Linked DNA regions of Rattus norvegicus. The protein of the gene in region 1 purifies or fractionates together with the protein of each later gene. This does not show direct contact. Links are inferred from orthologs where the notes say so. Each region holds a gene or a part of one and is shown on either strand. Other genes may lie near its edges.

Region 1 (3,500 bases):
TAACTTTTCAGCTGTAAACATGTTTTCAACTATATAACTATAAATATCTTTAGATATACTCATGGTAATCCCAATATTCAAGAGGAAGAGGCAAGTTTATGGATCTATGACTTCAGGGTCAGCCTGGTCTACAGAGCAAGTTTCAGGACAGCCAGGGCTACACAGAAGAATCCTGTCTCAAAAGAAGAAAAAAGAGCACATAAATTTATAGAATTATGTTCTTTCAAGAAAAATATTAAAACTTATCTTGAATTCTCAGAAATAGTATCAAATGAATTTAAAACAAAACATGAGTCAGAAAAGACAAAACTAGGGGTTGGGGATTTAGCTCAGTGGTAGAGCGCTTGCCTAGGAAGCGCAAGGCCCTGGGTTCGGTCCCCAGCTCCGAAAAAAAAGAACCAAAAAAAAAAAAAGAAAAGACAAAACTAATGTGTATGTTTTAAATGGCTTTCCATCAGATGCAAAGTACTGTTCGAGAGCACAGGGATGGAGGTCACGCAGGCGGCATCTTCAACAGATACAGTATTCTCAAGGTAACATGACCAGAAGGAGGTTTCCAAACCAAGACTGATTTCCACAGCCTGGAGTCTTAAGAAAGGTTGAGGAGAACATAGTGATGTCTAATACAATAGCTTTCTAACATGGCTTCATGGACTATAGAGGGGGAGACTGTCCTCCAAATTTTAACTTCTCAAAAACTCTGTTCATTTTTGGGGCAGAATATCACTGTCTACCTAGGCTAGTCTGGAATTTGAGTCTCTTGCCTCAGGCATTCTCGTCCTGGGGCTCAGACTGTGGGCCACCATGCCCGACATCTGTAAAGATTCTTCTATTTTAGGTCAGACATGGTAGCTCACAGCAGTGGGGGACATCCTGGCAGATCTCGGGTTTGGAGACGGCCTTGTCTACAGAGCAAGTTCCAGGACATCCAGGGCTACACAGAGAGCTATCTCAAAAAAAAAAAAAAAAAAAAAGAAGAAGAAATAAAAATGATTGAACAGGGGGCTGGAGAGATGGCTCAGCGGTTAAGAGCACTGACTGCTCTTCCAGAGGTCCTGAGTTCAAATCCCAGCAACCACATGGTGGCTCACAACCATCTGCAACACAGATTCCCTCTTCTGGTGTGTCTGAAGAGAGTGACAGGGTACTCACTTATATAAAATAAATAAAATCTTAAAAAAAAAAAGATTGAACAGTATCAGTATTCCATGAATGAAGTAGATGTGGTTAATGAACTAAAGCTTACTTAGTGTGCTGTGGTTCTGTTACTACCATGAGGTTCTTTAGGCAAGGAGGAGTCACTTAAGCGTGAAATGGAGAGGCTGATTTCTAAATGTCCTCATTCAATATGAAAGGAATCCATTTCAGTACAGTATTTAATGATTCTCTGTGTGTGCTAGAATAGCTTTACTTTTGTTATATTTTATACATAAATAAGGCTGGTTTATACCAGCTATGGTTCTTGATTACATCTGTTATCCATATTTTGAGTCATTTTGTGGGGTTTTTATGTTTGTTTGAGCTAATACTAAAACTGAAATTCTCATGCTTCCTTTAGGGACCACCAGGGGGCTGTAGCACTTAGTGCTAGAAATGTCCATTTTTACCATAGTGATTCTCCAAATGAGACCAGCTTTCATCTTTAAATCTTCTCCAGATGAAAGTGGGGACTGGCAGGGAAACAGAGTAATAGGAAAAAAGCAGGGTGATGTGTGGTGGGTGGTCATTTCAAATCATGTTCACGGTGTTCTGAGTTGGATAGTCAGGAGAACAGGATGCTGGGCCTGGTCTCATGCTTCTACAAAACTTAGTATGGCTCAAGTATTTTAGTAACAACTTAGTGGTGATTTTTATTTAGCTTCCTATTGTAAGTAATTTAAAGTTGAAGTATTTCACGCAACTTTCAAATATTCGTGACCCCTTCTTGGCCACATGTAGTCTTTCTTTCTCTTTGAAAAACAGTGTTGCATGTATATGAACTCCTACACACACACAATTGCATGTACACAACCACATATATGTGGAGGTCGAAGGACAACTTATGGGAGATGATTCTTCTTTTAGTCTGTGGTTTTTTGGGTTTTTGTTTTGGTTTTGGTTTTGGGTTTTGGGGTTTTTTTTGTTTTGTTTTTTTGTAAGATAAAAGGTAGTGTTAACTTTTCTGGTTTTTATAGATTCAGAAGGTTTGTAACAAGAAATTGTGGGAAAGATATACACACCGGAGAAAAGAAGTTTCTGAAGAAAACCACAACCATGCAAATGAAAGAATGTTATTTCATGGTAAGTTTTTACACTGCTCTAAGAGTGTAGCTTGTGTCCTCTTAATAAAGCTAACATTTCTGTAACTTACATTCGTGTTCATATCCTCAGTTACTTTTGTGTTAATATTCCTTAAAACGAACATTTTTATAAATTAAGATTACCCTGTTGGTGGCCAGTAAAATGGCTCATTATAAAGCCTTGCCACATGAACCTAATGACCTGAGTTCTGTCCCCAAAATCTATGCTGGGAAGAGAGAAGTAAGTTCTGAAACAGTGGCACACTTATGCAAAACCCCACACACACCCAACACTGGGTCTCATATGCTTATGCTCAGTGCAGTTTTGGCTAAGCCTCTGAGCAAGGAGAGGAGGGGGCAGCATGTGCCTGTGGAATGTTCCGTAGCAGATGATGGAGGAGAAGTGGCCCAGGAAAAGAAGAGAGCATGGCAGGCTGCTCAGGCCCTTCTGGTTATCTAGAGAAAGCACAGAGGTCAAGCATGCTTGCAAGACCTGACTGATGTCTTAGCCTTACTGTATGCCATGAGCTGGGAGCCCTTGGTCCAGAGTTTGTATGTTACTGGAAAGCAGTAACTTTTGCATTAGAATTTCAAAAAATGTGTTGTTATTCTAATTGAGTCTATCTGTTGGCATATGAACCACTACCCTATTGGAATCATTAATCCCAACCTAAGGAATTCTTAGCTCTAAAGATGCAAGCTAGCATCTACAGAGATGATTTGTCAATAAAGAGCAAATATTGCTGGAAACGTTAACTTGTCTGGGGCCTTGGTTCTGTTTTGTGGACTGTGTTGCCTGTCTGTCTTCAGGGTCTCCCTTTGTGAATGCGATAATCCATAAGGGCTTTGATGAGAGGCACGCCTACATAGGGGGCATGTTTGGAGCTGGGATCTATTTTGCTGAGAACTCTTCCAAAAGCAATCAGTATGTGTATGGGATTGGAGGTGGCACTGGATGTCCAGTTCACAAAGACAGATCGTGTTACATTTGTCACAGGTGAGAGATTATTACTTATTTCGATAGTAATTAGATCAGAACTAATTACATATTTGAGAAACATGGAGGGCAAGACAAACCTGATAACTTGAGGGATGCATTAAACTTTGAATACTTGGTTCTCCACACAGAATGCCAAGGGGAGCCAGGAAGATAGTGCACGACCACTGCCTGGCTCTGTTGACAGAGATGGAAGTGTGGGAGTTGAAGGGGGCCTAAGCCCT
Region 2 (4,054 bases), about 210 Mb from region 1:
ACAGACTGAATAAATTCCTACTAAAATCTTACCAGTCTTTTTGCATAAAAAGAAAAGCTAGTCCTTAAATTCACATCAAATTAGCTCAAAGAATCTTTAAAAATAAGAGCAAAGTTCAACGTTGCCACATCCCAACACTACAGAACAATACTAAGATACTGTGGTATGGAATTATAAGATAAATACATCAATAAAATACAATTATGAATCACGAAAACAGATGGCTCAGCAGTTAAGAGCACTTACTGTTTCTTGCAGCGGTCCCTGGTTTGGGGGCGGGGAGCAGTCTCAGCACCCACACAACAGCTCACATCAACCTATACTGTCAGTTATATGAAATCTAATGCCCTCTTTTGGCCTCCATAGGCTGTTATATGTATGTGATATACATAAACTTATATAAGCACATTCACATAAAATACGTAAATAAATCTTTTCAACAAATGCATAAACATATTACATAGCCAAATGATCTTTGGGAAAGTGTATCAAGCCCATTCAATAGAAAAAGAGTATGTCTCAACACTGAGACAACCCGATTTAGACATGCAACCAAGTCAAGCCACACTTCACACAATATATAAAAATTAATCAAAGCAGATCAATGACCTAATTATCATAATCCAATCCTTAAAATGTTAGAAGCCAATAGAACGCAAATTCTTTAAGCATTGGAACACGTAACACCATTGGGACACATAACACCAATAGTATAGAGAACAAAGGAATATATAAATTTGACCTTATCAAAATGTAAAGAAAAAATTGACAACTTATAGAAATGGAGATTTTTGAAAATAAAGACTTAATTTTCAGACTACTTAATTCCTACACCTCAATGGAAAAAACAAAAATAAATAAGAAACAGGCTTGATAACTCATTCTTTATAAGAAAATGATCAATGAACACATGAAAAGGTATTCAGTCTTAGTCATTAGGAAAATGTAACTCAGACCTACAGCAAAGTAAAAATACATGTGGCTAAGGATGCAGTAAAGTTAGACCTTTAGTGAGTGCTAGTATAAGTGTAATATGATGTCACTCATGTGGATCTATAATTACTATACACCCCAGCAATTCTACTGCTAGATCTATATAAAACAAAAGAATACTAGGACTCAGACTTTCATACGCCAAAGTCAATAACAGAATTACAGTCAAAAGATGAACACGCATGTCTCTTTGCAGATGAATGGATAGAGAAAACACAGTATTGCAGTATTCAGAACAAAAGAATGAAGTTTGTCCACTATAAATGTAACACGGAAACATGTTGCTAAAGTCAAATGAACCAGACATAAAGGGAAAAATACTGTATTTAGTCCTGAATGAATGGAGAACTTCAGAGATCAACTTAAGGGTCATCAGAGACCAAAATGAAGAGCGAACAGGGAGCTCCTGCCTCAAAAGTACATAGTTTCTGTCCGGAATATGAAATATTTCCAGAAATACATAGTAAGGATGGCTTCCAACACTGTCAATAAAATTAGCTCTACTGAGTGTACACTTAAAAATAATTAAAGAGTATCTCTTGTTTCTTACAATTTTACTACAAAACATGTTTTGAGTAAAATAATCAAGTTCTGTATGAACCCAGTCAAAGCAGCAACAAAATGTCAGTAGCCCATTCTTAATACTGAGTCAGCATCACTGCCTTCCTACACAGGTGCCATTAGCACATTAACTCATGGGTGCTGTTATTTATTTTACTACCTTTATGGCAACTTTTACTCAAGCTACCTCCTGTCCAGAAAATCAAAAACACCACCCGCCCTTTAGCTGTTGTCATATAGTATTCCTTCCTGTGGGTTGCCTACTTCAAGAGGCACATCATTCCACGTAGAACCTGCGTAACATCCTGCACATGATCACTAAAGAATTGGCCAACCACATAGTAAGTAAATCTAAGAGAGGAGAGACATGGATCCTGTTTCATTCAGTTCCTTAAGTCTCTCAGGGCTGGCAATTATCTTTTTAACCTAAGATTCTGATAGTTAAAAGTAAATGTAGCACTTATGACCTCTGAATAGAAGCCTGCTTTCCCCACCAATGTGTAAGAGAACAATGAATCTGTTTCAAGGCCAAAGAATTTTCTATGTAACTGGCTAAACAGCATTTCTACTAAATGTGTTTCAGTTTATTCTGGCTTTAGATAACATGGCTGCCACTATTCTATTCTTCCTACCAGCTTTTATACTCTGCCTTTGTGGTGTGTAAAAGTTTAGTGATACCACACAGGAATATCAATGCATATCCCTCCCACAGCCTACTCAAAACAGACACTGCTCATTTTCTCACAATGCCATCTGCAGATCAGAGAGAGCCATTCTATCGTACCAATTTGGCTTTCTTTGAGACTCTACCACTGGCTGTGCTTAACTTCACCATTTCACTACATATCATCCTCTTCATGCTATCTGCTGACAGCCCCACAAACCAACTTAACTGTCCTTGAGAACGAACAGCCCAGCTTCTCAGATGTCCTTAAATCATGCTCCAATATCCATTTATTAGAAACAAGTACATAGCTTCTTAAAAGTATGCATTTTGGGGCCCTCCCACTGCAGATTCTAGGCTGAAATGAGTCTAAAAAACATAAAACTGCCCTTTATTTTCAACTTCTGAACTCCCAAATTCAAATCACTTTACTTCCTCTCAGCAATAAAGTGCCACTTGGCACTGTCATCTAAAACAAGTCACAATCGCATTCTCAGACCACAAGCGCTGGCCCTTCTCATCAGTTCGCATTCCCACACCTGTTCTTTAGTTATGGAGACCTCTGGCCACTTCCTCATCTTCTTTCCTTTATACAGTTCCTGATGTCATTTCCTTTCCTGACCAATCTAGAATCATCTGAAAGTTCTTCCCTAACAAAACCCCTGTTTTCATCTCTGTGTGGTTATATGAACCCCTACCTCTGCTGAATTTTGCAATGTGCCACTTCAGTTTCCATGCCTTAGCCACTTACTGGTCAGAGACATAGAGATACTATTACTACCTTCTCTAGCCCTCCATATTGTCACACTAAATCCTGTCATTTTGTATACTGAACAGTCTGGGAATTTCCTATGTACTATTATGTAACCAGCCTTAAATACACTGAAAGAAATGGATCATGGTCCTCCTAAACTCGAAGCCAAATTTTAGTTTTCCAGTCTATTCAATAAAGGCAAACTCCTTAGGAAAACAAAGGCTTTAGGTCTCTGAACTCTAAATAAAGAAGTCCCTCTTATTTATCCTTGGCAACCAGCCTTCCACATTAATACCAAAGTTACACCAAAGTACTCAATGCTCCAAAGAGCTCCTGATAAGTCTGTGTATCCTCCTACCTTTAAAAGTCTTCCTCTTTCACAGCTTATAAAATGCCCGATGATGTTTACTGCACTACACAGAAATAGTCACCCAAACTACTTCTCTTGTATTTTATGTATTTTTCTATTATAGAACTTAACATGAATATTGGCATTAATTTATGCCCTGACTTTTTTCACAGAACCATGAGAACACGACAGATGTTATATCTTCAAATGGTTAGTAAACTGCCAATTAATTTGTGTTGATTTCAACTGATTTGTTTAAATATTACAATACTTAAGTCACATAAAATACCTGAGTTTCCTCAAGAAGAAGGTACTTTTCTGGAAATTGCCAAATACATAAAGTTAGAGAATTCTTTAAAGAACCTATGATATAACTAAGCATTCCAGCCTCAGTTATAGAATCTGTCATCTATCTTTTAGCAAGCACAAAATTCACCTGGCTAATGACTACTTAAGGAGTGTCCAGAATGCAGATACAATTCCAAGAATAGATAACTAGATGGTAAGATTCTTGCCTGTAAAATTTGGTCACGTATTTCTTATAAAAAACTTTAGCAAATCATTGCTTAGAAGTAGGAAAGGTGCCCTTTTCCTCCCATTGAAATACAGAGAAAAACAAATACCAACTGTTCCCGCCTATCCACTTAACCATCTTGTCCATAAAAATTTTCTCTCTACAACTGATTTTACTTAACAAACAAACAAACAAACAAACAAAGTAAACAGAAGCAAA

What was found. Proteins that work in one complex are often made in the same cells at the same time.
Region 2: the proteins of Tnks2 (region 1) and Rnf146 purify together in Homo sapiens (co-immunoprecipitation; 3 studies listed by BioGRID and IntAct, with this or other methods). This does not show direct contact. The link is inferred for Rattus norvegicus from reciprocal best matches to the Homo sapiens genes TNKS2 and RNF146.

What each region holds. Positions count from the first base shown.
Region 1 is NC_086019.1:244,025,746-244,029,245, forward strand, and holds part of Tnks2 (poly [ADP-ribose] polymerase tankyrase-2), read left to right. Parts: intron 1-458; coding exon 459-533; intron 534-2,174; coding exon 2,175-2,280; intron 2,281-3,089; coding exon 3,090-3,276; intron 3,277-3,500. UniProt on the Homo sapiens protein: Poly-ADP-ribosyltransferase involved in various processes such as Wnt signaling pathway, telomere length and vesicle trafficking.
Region 2 is NC_086019.1:30,292,520-30,296,573, reverse strand, and holds the start of Rnf146 (E3 ubiquitin-protein ligase RNF146), read right to left. Parts: upstream 2,801-4,054; 5' UTR 2,758-2,800; intron 1-2,757. UniProt on the Homo sapiens protein: E3 ubiquitin-protein ligase that specifically binds poly-ADP-ribosylated (PARsylated) proteins and mediates their ubiquitination and subsequent degradation. May regulate many important biological processes, such as cell survival and DNA damage response.